Drosophila melanogaster: one gene and its partners. Changing the gene in region 3 together with the main gene of any one other region gives a genetic interaction. Each region holds a gene or a part of one and is shown on either strand. Other genes may lie near its edges. The genes, in order: Taf4, Dsor1 and Ras85D.

Region 1 (3,752 bases), on a different chromosome or scaffold from region 3:
TTTCAGATTTCAACTCAGATATAAGTTTCAGATTTCACATTAATGAATTAAGGATATTTTTTAAGCGTAAAATACGTTATCAAGCCTGGGACTAACCCCATTTGGATAAGGATATGGGAATTTCGGGCAGCGAGGTAGACAGATGAAAGCATAATAAAAGTATACAACCAAAGTGTGTGCGGCCACTACTATCCGATTCGAGCGAGGAATTGAGGGGGTTTTGATTGGGGATCAGATTTGGACGAAGTGATACGCCCGAGTTGCGATCGCCTAGCGCCCGAAGAGTGGGTTTAGCTTTAATATGGATACCTGATTGATGGTCTTGGTCATGGTTACGATTCCTGCTGGTGCACTTGAGACTAGACCCGCCGGCAGGGTGACAGCATGGTGGTTGGATTTAATAACTAGGGTTTGTGTTTGGGTGGCACCTACGGATTGCGTCTGCTGTTGCTGCTGTTGTTGCTGTTGCGACTGCTGCTGCTGTTGGACATGATGCACCTGCTGAAGTCCCTGATGCTGACCACCGATCCCCGCCTGGATCGTCTTGATGGTGGTGGTATTCGGTAGCTGGGCCGTGGAGATGACCGCGCCGGGATTGCCGGCTATGCTGATGGTGCCATTGGGCAGCGGCTGGCTGGTGAAGGTGATGCGATTGCCGGCAGCTGTCTGGCTGGTGTTCATCGTGCTGTGTGGTGTTTATGTTATTGGCGAGTGTGTTTCTCCTATTCCACTGACTTCTGTGTGTTGGTGTGGGCGAGCGATCCTGTTCCGATCAACTAGTTGCGCACATCCTGTGTTGGTGTTGGCGGAGTTGTTGCATGCTGTGCGCTCCAGAAGCGAACTGCAATGCAAGGGGAGGCGCTTTTAGTATTTATACAAGATTCGGCTCGAGGCGGTGGAGAAACAGGTAGGCGGTGGAGGTGCTACCTGACCGCCGGCTACCTGGCGGCCGTGCGCCATAAACCAGATGCTGCGTACACCTGGATGCCGCGCACAGGTAATCGCATTCACCTTGGCCAAAAAAGCGGGTGCTCCGCTGAATTGGTGCTGCGCTGGCTCACTCGCACTCGCCTTTGCCGTCACTGTCGTCGGCCTTTCTCCTGGCGCATCCGTTGCAGTCGTTGTCGCGTGTGTGTTATCTCGCTAATTCGCTGCCTTTTGTTTGCGCCGCTAAGCCTTTCTACACTTTTCCCGATCGGCGGGTTTTCCTGCGCACACACACACTCGCGCGTGCTCGCACGGACTGATTGTTGAGCACTGGAAGAATGCTTTATTTTGATTATTTTGATGTACAAAAAATTTGGCAGCGACGGTGCCAGAACGCCGCCATTTTCACGAATGCGCGTGCAAAGCGAAAATCGAGGCTGGTGGACGTTGCCAGATAGCGTGCGAAAAACACGTAACCAACGATCTGGCAATGCCGCTCGTTTATGCGGGTGGCGAGTGCGCAATATTCGTGAATGCACTAAATTTAAAAAAAAGTTCAACTCGAAAGTGGAGCACTTAATAATTGATGATTTCTATTAGGAAAAATTCATATTTTTCGAAAATCCGCATAAAAATATTTAAAACAAAAAGAAAACAAATGCATCTTGTACATGTCTCCAGTGGCAATATGGAGCATCGTGCCAGCCGTAGTATTAGTAATTTCTACTTTAGTGGCCAGCGGGTGGTGGCATAAACCCACGTCCGTGTCTGTGCGACTGTGTGCGTGTGTTTCAGTATAGGTTTTGTACAGCCTGCAATGTCGGGGGAAATTTTCTGGGCCCTGTGGCAGATGCACTCACTTCAATTCATTTTGCGTTCAAACTCGGTGCACTGGGGCGCATTTTAAACGATTTCCCGTTGCGTTTCTCTGGCGATTTAGCCGAAAACCGAGTAAATATTGTTTACGGACCGCCGAGGTACGGACGAGTTGTGCAGTGTGACCGTTGGCGACAATATCGTCGTGTTAAACGCGATACCGAATTAAAATACTAGAAAAGAAGTAGTGACTTGGATATCATGTCGATTTTTTATAGCCTTGTTGCGTACATTTTCAAAACCAAAAACGTTTGCTGGCATTTTGATGCCATCGGATTTTAGCCGCATACCAAATTAATTATATGCTCATTAGTTTTTATATGGGTAATAAGCCACAATTTTTAAGGATCAAAATAATTTATTTTAATACATTCGAATACGATACATTTTAAATCCTTTGAACTATTATTAGAGTACTGTTTAAAGCTGAATGTTAGGTAATTGAATAAATGAAGAATACGCTCAAAAATTAGAAACTACTAAAACTATTATTAGAGTACTGTTTAAAGCTGAATGTTAGGTAATTACAGAATTGAAGAAAATGCTCAAAAATGTTATTATTTTTTTATATTTAAACGCTATTTGCTCATATACTTAAATCATATATATATTCAAACGAAGGAGTAGTACTTTGTAACGGTCAAACAATCGATAGTTCCACTTTGATACCGAACTACATGCCCCACCACCAACGTGATGGTATTTTTGTTAGTTTTCGGTATCTTTGAAATGCTAAACTTCAGCACAACGGGCAAAATAATTCTGTAGAGCGAGTTAAATACATATCGTACAAATAGCGGTCTTAATAAAATAGACCATACCAATTTTAATATTAAACAAATTCCGTTAAATAAGCAACATATATAGTGTAATGGTATATTTTCCAAAAACTTCCAAAAATAAAAAGTGGTATTTGTTTCAAGTCGGGCTCAACATAGTATGATTATCCGATTACGCTGCGGTCACACTAGTACCGGCCCATAGAGACGGAAGAAAAATTTTATTTAACCGATTTCAGGTAATTGCCATTTGCATTAACTGTTTTTTAACCATGCACAACTAGGGCTAAAATGCCGTTGGAAAAGAGATCGCCACGTGTGCTCACTCGCATGTGGGCCAGACACGCGAAAAGTGCGTCCAAAGCTGCGGGGTAAAAATCGATAGAGAAAAGCAGATGAAAAACGGATGGGAAAGTGGTGGGGGGAGCTCCTTTCTCAACATGACGTGACTAAGACCACTTTGCTTTTACAGCTATAAACAGGCTATTACTCGGAAAGCACATATAAATTCCCGAATAAATCCGCATTCGAAGTCCCATAAATATTGACAGTCAGTCGGATAGGACAGCTAATGTAAGTAGAGCACTTGGTGGGGATGGGGGCAGGTCCAAAATGCAAATGCAAATGCCAATGGTAAACTAGTAAACCGCAGACAGATTGTCAAACAAATTCGATTTTCGTAATTGCAGCGCACCGCGACAATGGCCAACAACAACTACGCCGGGTTTAACTACGGCGGCACCCAGTACAATACGGGCCAAGTCTCGTACCCGGCGGTAACCAATGCCACCTACGCGAATGCGGCCGCCTATCAGAATGCCGCTGTGGCCGCCGGACAGGGTGGTTATGGCGGAGCAGCAGGAGCGGGCGCTGGCGCCACCTCTGGCCCTGGGGCGGGGGGTTATGGTGGCTACGGCGACTATCGAAGTGCCATGCAATACGACGCCACCAAGACATTCTATCAGCAGTCGCCGGCCAGCTACAACGCCTCCGGTTCGACAGCCTCGGTCAGCAAGACGCACTACTCGGCTCCGCCAGTCAAGAATCAGGTCAAGGGCAAGATGGACAAGTCGAACGGTGGTCCCAAGCCCCCTAGTTCGGCTCCTCCGGCGGGCAACAATTACAGTGGCTATGATACAGCACTCTACAATGCGGCAAGCATGTATGTGG
Region 2 (3,752 bases), on a different chromosome or scaffold from region 3:
TCCTGCCGAGAATGGACTCTGGTATTCGACCGGCCCGCTTGAGGATCAGGTCAAGTGATCCACCGTCCATATACTCCATGCAGATACTGATCTCGCCGTCGCTGTAGAAGGCGCCGTAGAAACCGACAATGTGCGGGAAATTACATTCGTGCAGGACTTTCAGTTCGCGCAGGATCTGTTTCTTGATCGCCGGCTTCACCTCCAGATGGATCAGTTTCCTGGCCATGATCAGGTGTGTGTGCGTGTGCCGGACCTTCATCACCACGCCGCCATTGCCCGATCCGAGCTCGCCCAGCTTCTCCAGATCCTCGTCGGACAGCTCGCCGATCTTCTCCTTCTGGCTGAGGAACATCTTGATCCGCTTGCGTTCCGTGTCGCCCATGTCCAGACCCTCCAGCGTCTCTGTCAGCGCATCGATGCTCGTCTTGGGCTTCCCCAGCAAACTGTGTGTGCTTTAATTTAACCTCTTAATGAATTTTTGCGATCCAAAACGAAAATGTAAAAAGTGCAAGCAATGGATGGGATTTGAAAGTGGGGGATGGGATGAGGGGCGGGCCGAAGTTTCTCCTAATAATAAGAAAACTACACAAACATACACATCAAATTACATATGTATTGTGTTATGTTATGTTGCCTACATTTTGGTGCTCACAAAAAAATATACGATAAAGGTAGGACTATTAAATTATAATTTCTATTTATCTTCGAAACTGACTTTGTCATCCCGTTAATTAATCCAAAAAGCACTAAAACAGTTTACTGTATTTACTCAGTAAGTTTTTTCTCGCTGTGTACCTGTGCGTCACACGAAAGGAGCACCACCCACACCAACAAACAAAGAGAGAGTACCTGCTCTTTCACTCCGACTGTCTCTTTCTTTCCAGCTGGATGGGATTTCCTTGGATCAATTGATGGATATTAATTACCCACCTAACTCGCAAAACTACAGGATTATCTTACCACTGAGTAGGAAACCGAAAACGAGGAGTGGAAGGGGAAACAGCGAGGGAGGGGGGATGCGGTGTTATTGGAATGGGTGGCCTAAAAACCAGTCAGTTATTAAGGATATTATGTATAATATTTACTCTGTGCCCGAGGGGGTTTTGAATGGCGGCGTCGGCGCCACTGTGGCGGCGGCAACAGTTGCCTCCGTATTTACCGGCGGCAGCACCAGATTCAGCTTGTTCTTCGACATCTTACTATATATAATATATATCTCTCGATACCGTTATCCGTTACCGATAAGTTAAAGCACACAACAATAACAACAACAAAAAAAAACTAATAAATGAAACAATACAAATAGAGAGTGTTCCAGTGGAAACAACAACAAAACGCACTACGAACAGCGGCGTCCGACGAACGGCTGAAGGGTGTGAGGGGCGAGGGGCGTCGGCGAGGGGGCGTGCGAAGGGAGGCCAAGTGCGAATGTTTCGTTTTGTGTGTCCAGCCGCTGGTAAATTTGCACCAATTCCTCGCGTTGCGCTTAACTTTAACACACCCGAACCGAGCACACGAACAGCAAACGGATAGTTAATATTATTTTTGCAATAATCAGCCAAAATCGGCGACTTTTGGGTTTTTTTCGCAGACGGTGCGGTATGGCCAGATGTCGCGATTACCAAATACCGTTAATACACTCCTACGACTAAAGCGGCCAATGGTCACAACTTAAATGGAAAGGATATTAGGATTAGATATTACTAATTTGTTACGATGAGGGGAGAGGTATACTTATCTGTTTAGCCAATTTAATTGAGCCAAAACATATCTATAAACTATTCGATACGCTTTTTAAAGAAATTTCTCCTGAGCATTCGCGGTTGATATTTTCATGCCACGCGTATACGGTCACACTCTCCCACCCCACTCATTTTCTTAAAGGGAAAAACAATAACATTTCCGGCGTATTCCCCGCTCTATCTGACCAAAATGAGGCTCCAACGACAGTGCATTGTGGTCAACATGCGATCGGCCATTGTCCTGATCATGATCTTCGTGCTGACGGGGATCAGGAACAGCGAAACGGCCAGCGGTGGCAACCAGATGGACTTATCGGACTCAAAAGGCGATCACAAGGATAACAGCAATGCGAGCAATGGCAATGGAAATGCCAACGATAACGAGGTGTATGTGCCGCCCCTGGTGTCCAGCATGGTGGCCAAGAGTGGAGGAGGTGCCGGTGGACTCCTGGACAACATAACCGCCTACAGCAGCAGCAGCAGTAGCAGTAGCAGCAATGGGAACAACAACATGCTATGCCCGTACGATAAGGAAACGCCCTGTGATCGCCTGCAGTTTCCCTGCATCCGTTGCAACTACAATCATGGATGCATCTACGGCCGGGACTTGAATGTAACCTGCGAGGTGATCAACAATGTCCAGTGCCTGGGCGAACGGAGTTTCCAGCGACAAATGAATTGCCGATACTGCTACCAAACGGAAATGTGGCAACAGAGCTGTGGCCAGCGCTCCAGTTGCAACTCGGCGACGGATAAGCTATTCCGTACCAACTGCACCGTGCACCATGATGTGCTCTGCCTCGGCAATCGATCCTTTACCCGCAACCTGCGATGCAACTGGACGCAGGGCTATCGGTGGAGCACAGCCCTGCTGATTAGCCTCACGCTAGGGGGCTTTGGAGCCGATCGATTCTACTTGGGCCACTGGCAGGAAGGGATTGGAAAGCTGTTCAGCTTTGGCGGCCTCGGCGTCTGGACCATCATCGATGTCCTGCTCATCTCGATGCATTATTTGGGGCCAGCGGATGGCTCACTTTACATATAGTTTAGTTTTACAGGGGTTAATAGGTCATAAGCTAACTTTTCCATTACAGTGTACATAATAACGAATGCAAATATGCAACCATTAGGAATAGCAAGATCTTCTCAAAAACGTGTACATAATTAATTAGGAAATGTATTTTATTAATAATGCCAAAAGTTCTTTTTTGTATCTTTTATCTAGCACAATTCTTTGATCGTATCAATAAATAAGTGAAAGAGAAAATATAACCATCTCTTTCTCGTTCCTGTAAGATCAGACAAATTTGTAAAAATAAATGGTTTGTTTCATTCAGAAGATTTATTTCAATTTCACTAGGAAGTTTCTTTTTTAAAAATTCAATTTGTTTTTACAATATTACTCTAATATTACGAAATCTTGTGCTAGATCTAAATGTATCTTTTGCTTACATTTATAAATTTATATAGCTTATATTATAGAGTTTCCTGAAATGAAATCCAAACTCACCCCTCAACTGAAAGTGACTCAGTCCATGGCGGCCGCCTGCACTTCATCATCGCCATCATCAAACTTAATGTGCTTGCCCAGCATTTTGCCCACTTTCTCGCGACCGCGTTTTTGCTGCACGCGCACCTTTTTCGAGAGTTTCGCCTCGCGATCCTGCTCGATTTTTCGCCAATAGAGCGTCTCCTGCTGGCCAGAGAGCACTTTCAGCTGCCTCTCGGAGCAGTTGACCTGGCGTAGCAGTTCCTCGGCTGCGGCAGGCGTGCCCAAACGTAGTAGGGCCACTTGGTCGCCCTCCTTAATATCCACATATTTAATATCCGGATATTGGCGCATTTCAGCCTTAAATTCTTTAACATTGGTGCATGGTTTTAGCAGGGAGCACTCCACAATCAGCCCGGGCTCGTATTTAAAGAGCGGCGTGCGTTCCTGCGAAGGTTCTTCGGATTTGGTGGATTCCACGCCGCCGGCGCCGTAGAAATTCATGTTCATCTTGTGCACCG
Region 3 (3,752 bases):
CACGGAGTATCTGTTGAAGTACAAACAACATAGAATCAAGTTAAGTGCTGGTTGAAAACAAACGGATATAGCAGCTGAACCAAGGCAGTTACAACAGTATTCATAGTTTTTATGTAGAGGTACATATTCATTTTCATTTTCGATTTGCTTCGTTCGTTTTTGTTTGCTTGTTATTGTTAATACTCTTAAAAGGGCGCCTCGCAGCCTTTCAAACGACACAAAACACACACATTCACAAAATCATTTCGACGTACATAAAACTCTAGTTACTTAAATTAATTACAATTTCTCTTCTTTTATCTGACAATTGCACCGACCAACACGCTCCCACATGTGTGTGTTTTTCGCATTGTGTGTCCAAAATGGACAAACCATCGAGCCCAGGACGATCGGCGATTCGCCGACGCACATACAGACAAACAGGCGACATTTGAAGAAATAAAAAGTGAATAATAACCAATGCGTGGCCGTTTAGAGCATTTTACATTTAAATCTACGATTCGGCTTGTTCATTTTGCGGCCCCTCCGCCCCTTGTTGTCCTTGTCCTTGCGGATTTCGCGCACCAGTGTGTAAAATGCATCGTCCACGCCCATGCGCGTCTTGGCGGATGTCTCAATGTATGGAATGCCGTACTGTTTGGCCACCTGAGAACAACCATAATTAACGGAATGTTCGCTCGGAACTCTGAAGGCCGGTACTCACCTCTCTTGCCTGCTCGTTGTTAACGTTCCACGAGGCCAGATCACATTTGTTGCCCACCAGCACCATGGGCACCTCTTCGGCATCCTTTACGCGCTTGATCTGCTCACGGTAGGTGCCGATATCCTCGAAGGACTTCGCACTGTTGACGGCAAAGACCAGCAGGAATCCCTCGCCAGTCCGCATATACTGATCCCGCATGGCCGAGTACTCCTCTTGGCCGGCGGTGTCCAGGATGTCCAGCAGGCAGGTCTCTCCATCTGCAGGGGAATATAAAATGCATTTGAATATCGCAACTTCTTAAGGTCTCTTCTAGTATAAACGGGAAACCAAACCAGCGAAAGGGTGCAGAAATCTCTAGAGTATTTGGACCTGTGCAGCCCTAGCTTTGCCAGATCTAAGTACATATAACTCACCGATAACCACTTGCTTTCGGTAAGAGTCCTCGATTGTGGGGTCGTACTCGTCCACGAAATGGTTCTGGATTAGCTGGATGGTGAGCGCGGACTTGCCCACGCCTCCGGCTCCAACGACGACCAGTTTGTATTCCGTCATTTGGCTGTGGCGTCCGTTTTCGATTTGCCGTAGTCAAATGTCACAGTAACAGTCTCTTTCTCGCGATCGATGCTTACTCTCTTGTGAAGCGCCCGCAGATGCAGTCTCTCTCTCCGTACGCTTGTTGCGTGTGTTTGTGTGGGTGACTGTGCGTGTATGGGCTGCAAGTGGAGTAAATTATTAATTAAGATTGATTAAAATAAATTAAACGCATAATTAGGCAGGAATTAATGCACGTCACTGAGTCACTGTGACTAGGCGCTTACTCGCACAAACACACACGCACCACTGCATGCACACAGCCAGACGGGCAACACAAAAAAAAATGGGAAAAAGAGATCAATGACTCAAACTAAAATTAAAACCCATTCGCTCAATGCAAATTAGTTAGTCTCCCCCATAGCCGAGTTGTTAACTAGGTGAATTTGCTAATTCGGCGGCGTTGTTTTTAGCCCTTTTCTTTATTATTTTTCTTTTGCCTGCCGGGGCTGCGGACCTTCTTTGTTGCTGCCTCTTCAGCTAGCTCCTCCTTGTTTTTCCGCTCCGCTCCTCTCTATCAATACTCTGCCTCTCTCTTCTCGCGCGCGGCGCAGTTGCTGGGCACGTTTCACGTCACTTTCGCGGCTAACGGTGCGACAGGCGGTACTCCTCGATGGCACCAATTTAATTGCCGTGCGGTAATTGCAATTAACAGCGCAGGAAAACAATAAATCCGTATGTGAAATGAAGATGAAATCTAGGCTGTACGTAGCTGTGAAGATACTAGAGCTGGCACCAAGCCGATGGCACTATCGATAGCGATGGCTGCATTCTGGCCGGCACCATCGATGGACTTGCAATAGCGATTGCTATATGAAAACTAATCTAAAGAGGTGGATGCACTTCAGTCGACTCTCTATAATTTGCTTAAACTAATAAATGATTTGATCAATACAGCTTTCTGTAAAAACTGGCAGACGCTTTCTGCTTTTAATAATTGTTAATTTAAGTTCAACGGGCTGGCATCACCGTTTCTTAGCACGGACTCAAGCCTGAGTCTATTATTTCAACCACCACTGTAACGAAAACAGCATGGACAGATTGAAATTCAATAATTTGGTAAATAAACGATTTTATTTAAAATTATAGAGTTTTAATTAAAAAGAACTTTTACAGGTGATATCCAACAAGAAGGTCATTCAAAAGGCACGCGCCCAGACCATCGCCAAAATCGTACAAAAGCTGCGAAAGACAAAAGAGGCTCTGGCCAAAAATCCAGACAGTGAAAAGGAAAAGATTCGTTTACGCAAGAACACAGAATGCCTGGCCCAGTTGAAGGCTCTAAAATATATGGATATGGTACGCCAGTCGCTCCTGCAGGAGGGCACAAATCCCAATGCGGTGATTGCTAACGAGCGCTCCACGCCGGATGAACTGGGCATTGCCATGCTGCGGCTAAACAAATTGATGCACGGACTGGTGGACAAGTTTGTGGAAACCTTGAAGCTGAGCACCACCGATAAGGAGGCCAAGTGGCGTGAGGAGATCCTAGAGACGAGCAAGCGAAGGGCCAAAATAGAACGCACTGAGGAGCGGAAGAGGAAGCGCAAGGAGCTGAAGGAGCAGAAGGCCCAAACCAAAAACCGACTGGAGTGGTTAGAGCAGAACAAAGTGGTGGATGCAGATGTTAATGGAGCAACTGCGGAAACGCCCACTCTTCAAGTCAGCAAAGTAAATGATCAGGAAATACCACAGTCTTTTGCAAAAACTGAAAATTCTCCAGTTCTCAAAGTCAAAAAGGAAAAGACACCTAAAACACCAGCCAAAAAAGAAAGAAACCTTCAGAAAAAACAAGCTTTTGATGAGCAGATCAACCCGGAGATAACTAAGCTCAGTTCCAAAAAGCAGAATTTAAATACAATCAAGGAGAATAATGCAGAGCCACAACTAGAAGGCAGACCGAAAGAATCTAAGCCAAAACCCTTCGAGAAAAAACCAGCCAGAGAGCAGAAGCCTAAGCCACGATTAGAAAGGCAGCCAAGTATCGATGAAGAAGAACCACAACTTGACAATAATCGTCCCACACATGTCGTTGATCCCTTCTTCATTACGGAATCAGGCCAGCCCTACTTGTCCAGCGCCGTGGTTCTTTCCGGGGACAATGACAGCGAAGCTGATGAGGAACAGGCACCGCCGCCAGTCAAAAGGTTCCGCAATGAGGATCGACGGTCGAACACATATCGGGAGAAACCGGAAAGACAGCCAGAGTTCAAAGCGAGAAAGCCAACTGATGATCGTCATCCCTCCTGGCTGGCTAAGCAACAGCAGAAACCAATCATTGGTGATTTTAGAGGCAAGAAGATTACATTCGGCGACGACGGCCAGGCGGCGGAAATTATTGCTCCAAGTATCAATCAATTAACCGCTACTGCTGCTCCTTTGCCCACCGATGGCATGCACCCGTCTTGGGTGGCCAAACAGAAGTTTAAGCCGAAAATTGCCGCGTTTCAGGGCACAA

The links.
Region 1: of Ras85D (region 3) and Taf4, changing one suppresses a phenotype caused by changing the other (phenotypic suppression), as found in Drosophila melanogaster (3 studies listed by BioGRID).
Region 2: of Ras85D (region 3) and Dsor1, changing one suppresses a phenotype caused by changing the other (phenotypic suppression), as found in Drosophila melanogaster (4 studies listed by BioGRID).

What each region holds. Positions count from the first base shown.
Region 1 is NT_037436.4:16,111,401-16,115,152, reverse strand, and holds the start of Taf4 (TBP-associated factor 4), read right to left. Parts: upstream 1,942-3,752; 5' UTR 1,788-1,941; intron 1,364-1,787; exon of another isoform or gene 1,269-1,363; 5' UTR 1,012-1,268; intron 846-1,011; exon of another isoform or gene 842-845; 5' UTR 682-841; coding exon 310-681; intron 1-309. Other genes in the region: Zn72D (Zinc-finger protein at 72D), read left to right, coding at 3,284-3,752. UniProt on the Drosophila melanogaster protein: TFIID is a multimeric protein complex that plays a central role in mediating promoter responses to various activators and repressors.
Region 2 is NC_004354.4:9,245,242-9,248,993, reverse strand, and holds the start of Dsor1 (downstream of raf1), read right to left. Parts: upstream 1,653-3,752; 5' UTR 1,196-1,652; coding exon 1,086-1,195; intron 453-1,085; coding exon 1-452. Other genes in the region: amx (almondex), read left to right, coding at 1,933-2,787; Larp7 (La related protein 7), read right to left, coding at 3,271-3,752. UniProt on the Drosophila melanogaster protein: Required downstream of Raf in the sevenless (sev), torso (tor), and Drosophila EGF receptor homolog (DER) signal transduction pathways.
Region 3 is NT_033777.3:9,511,037-9,514,788, forward strand, and holds the start of Ras85D (Ras oncogene at 85D), read right to left. Parts: upstream 2,032-3,752; 5' UTR 1,752-2,031; intron 1,417-1,751; 5' UTR 1,256-1,416; coding exon 1,117-1,255; intron 961-1,116; coding exon 704-960; intron 646-703; coding exon 472-645; 3' UTR 1-471. Other genes in the region: Rlb1, read left to right, coding at 2,327-2,353, 2,411-3,752. UniProt on the Drosophila melanogaster protein: Ras proteins bind GDP/GTP and possess intrinsic GTPase activity. Plays a role in eye development by regulating cell growth, survival of postmitotic ommatidial cells and differentiation of photoreceptor cells.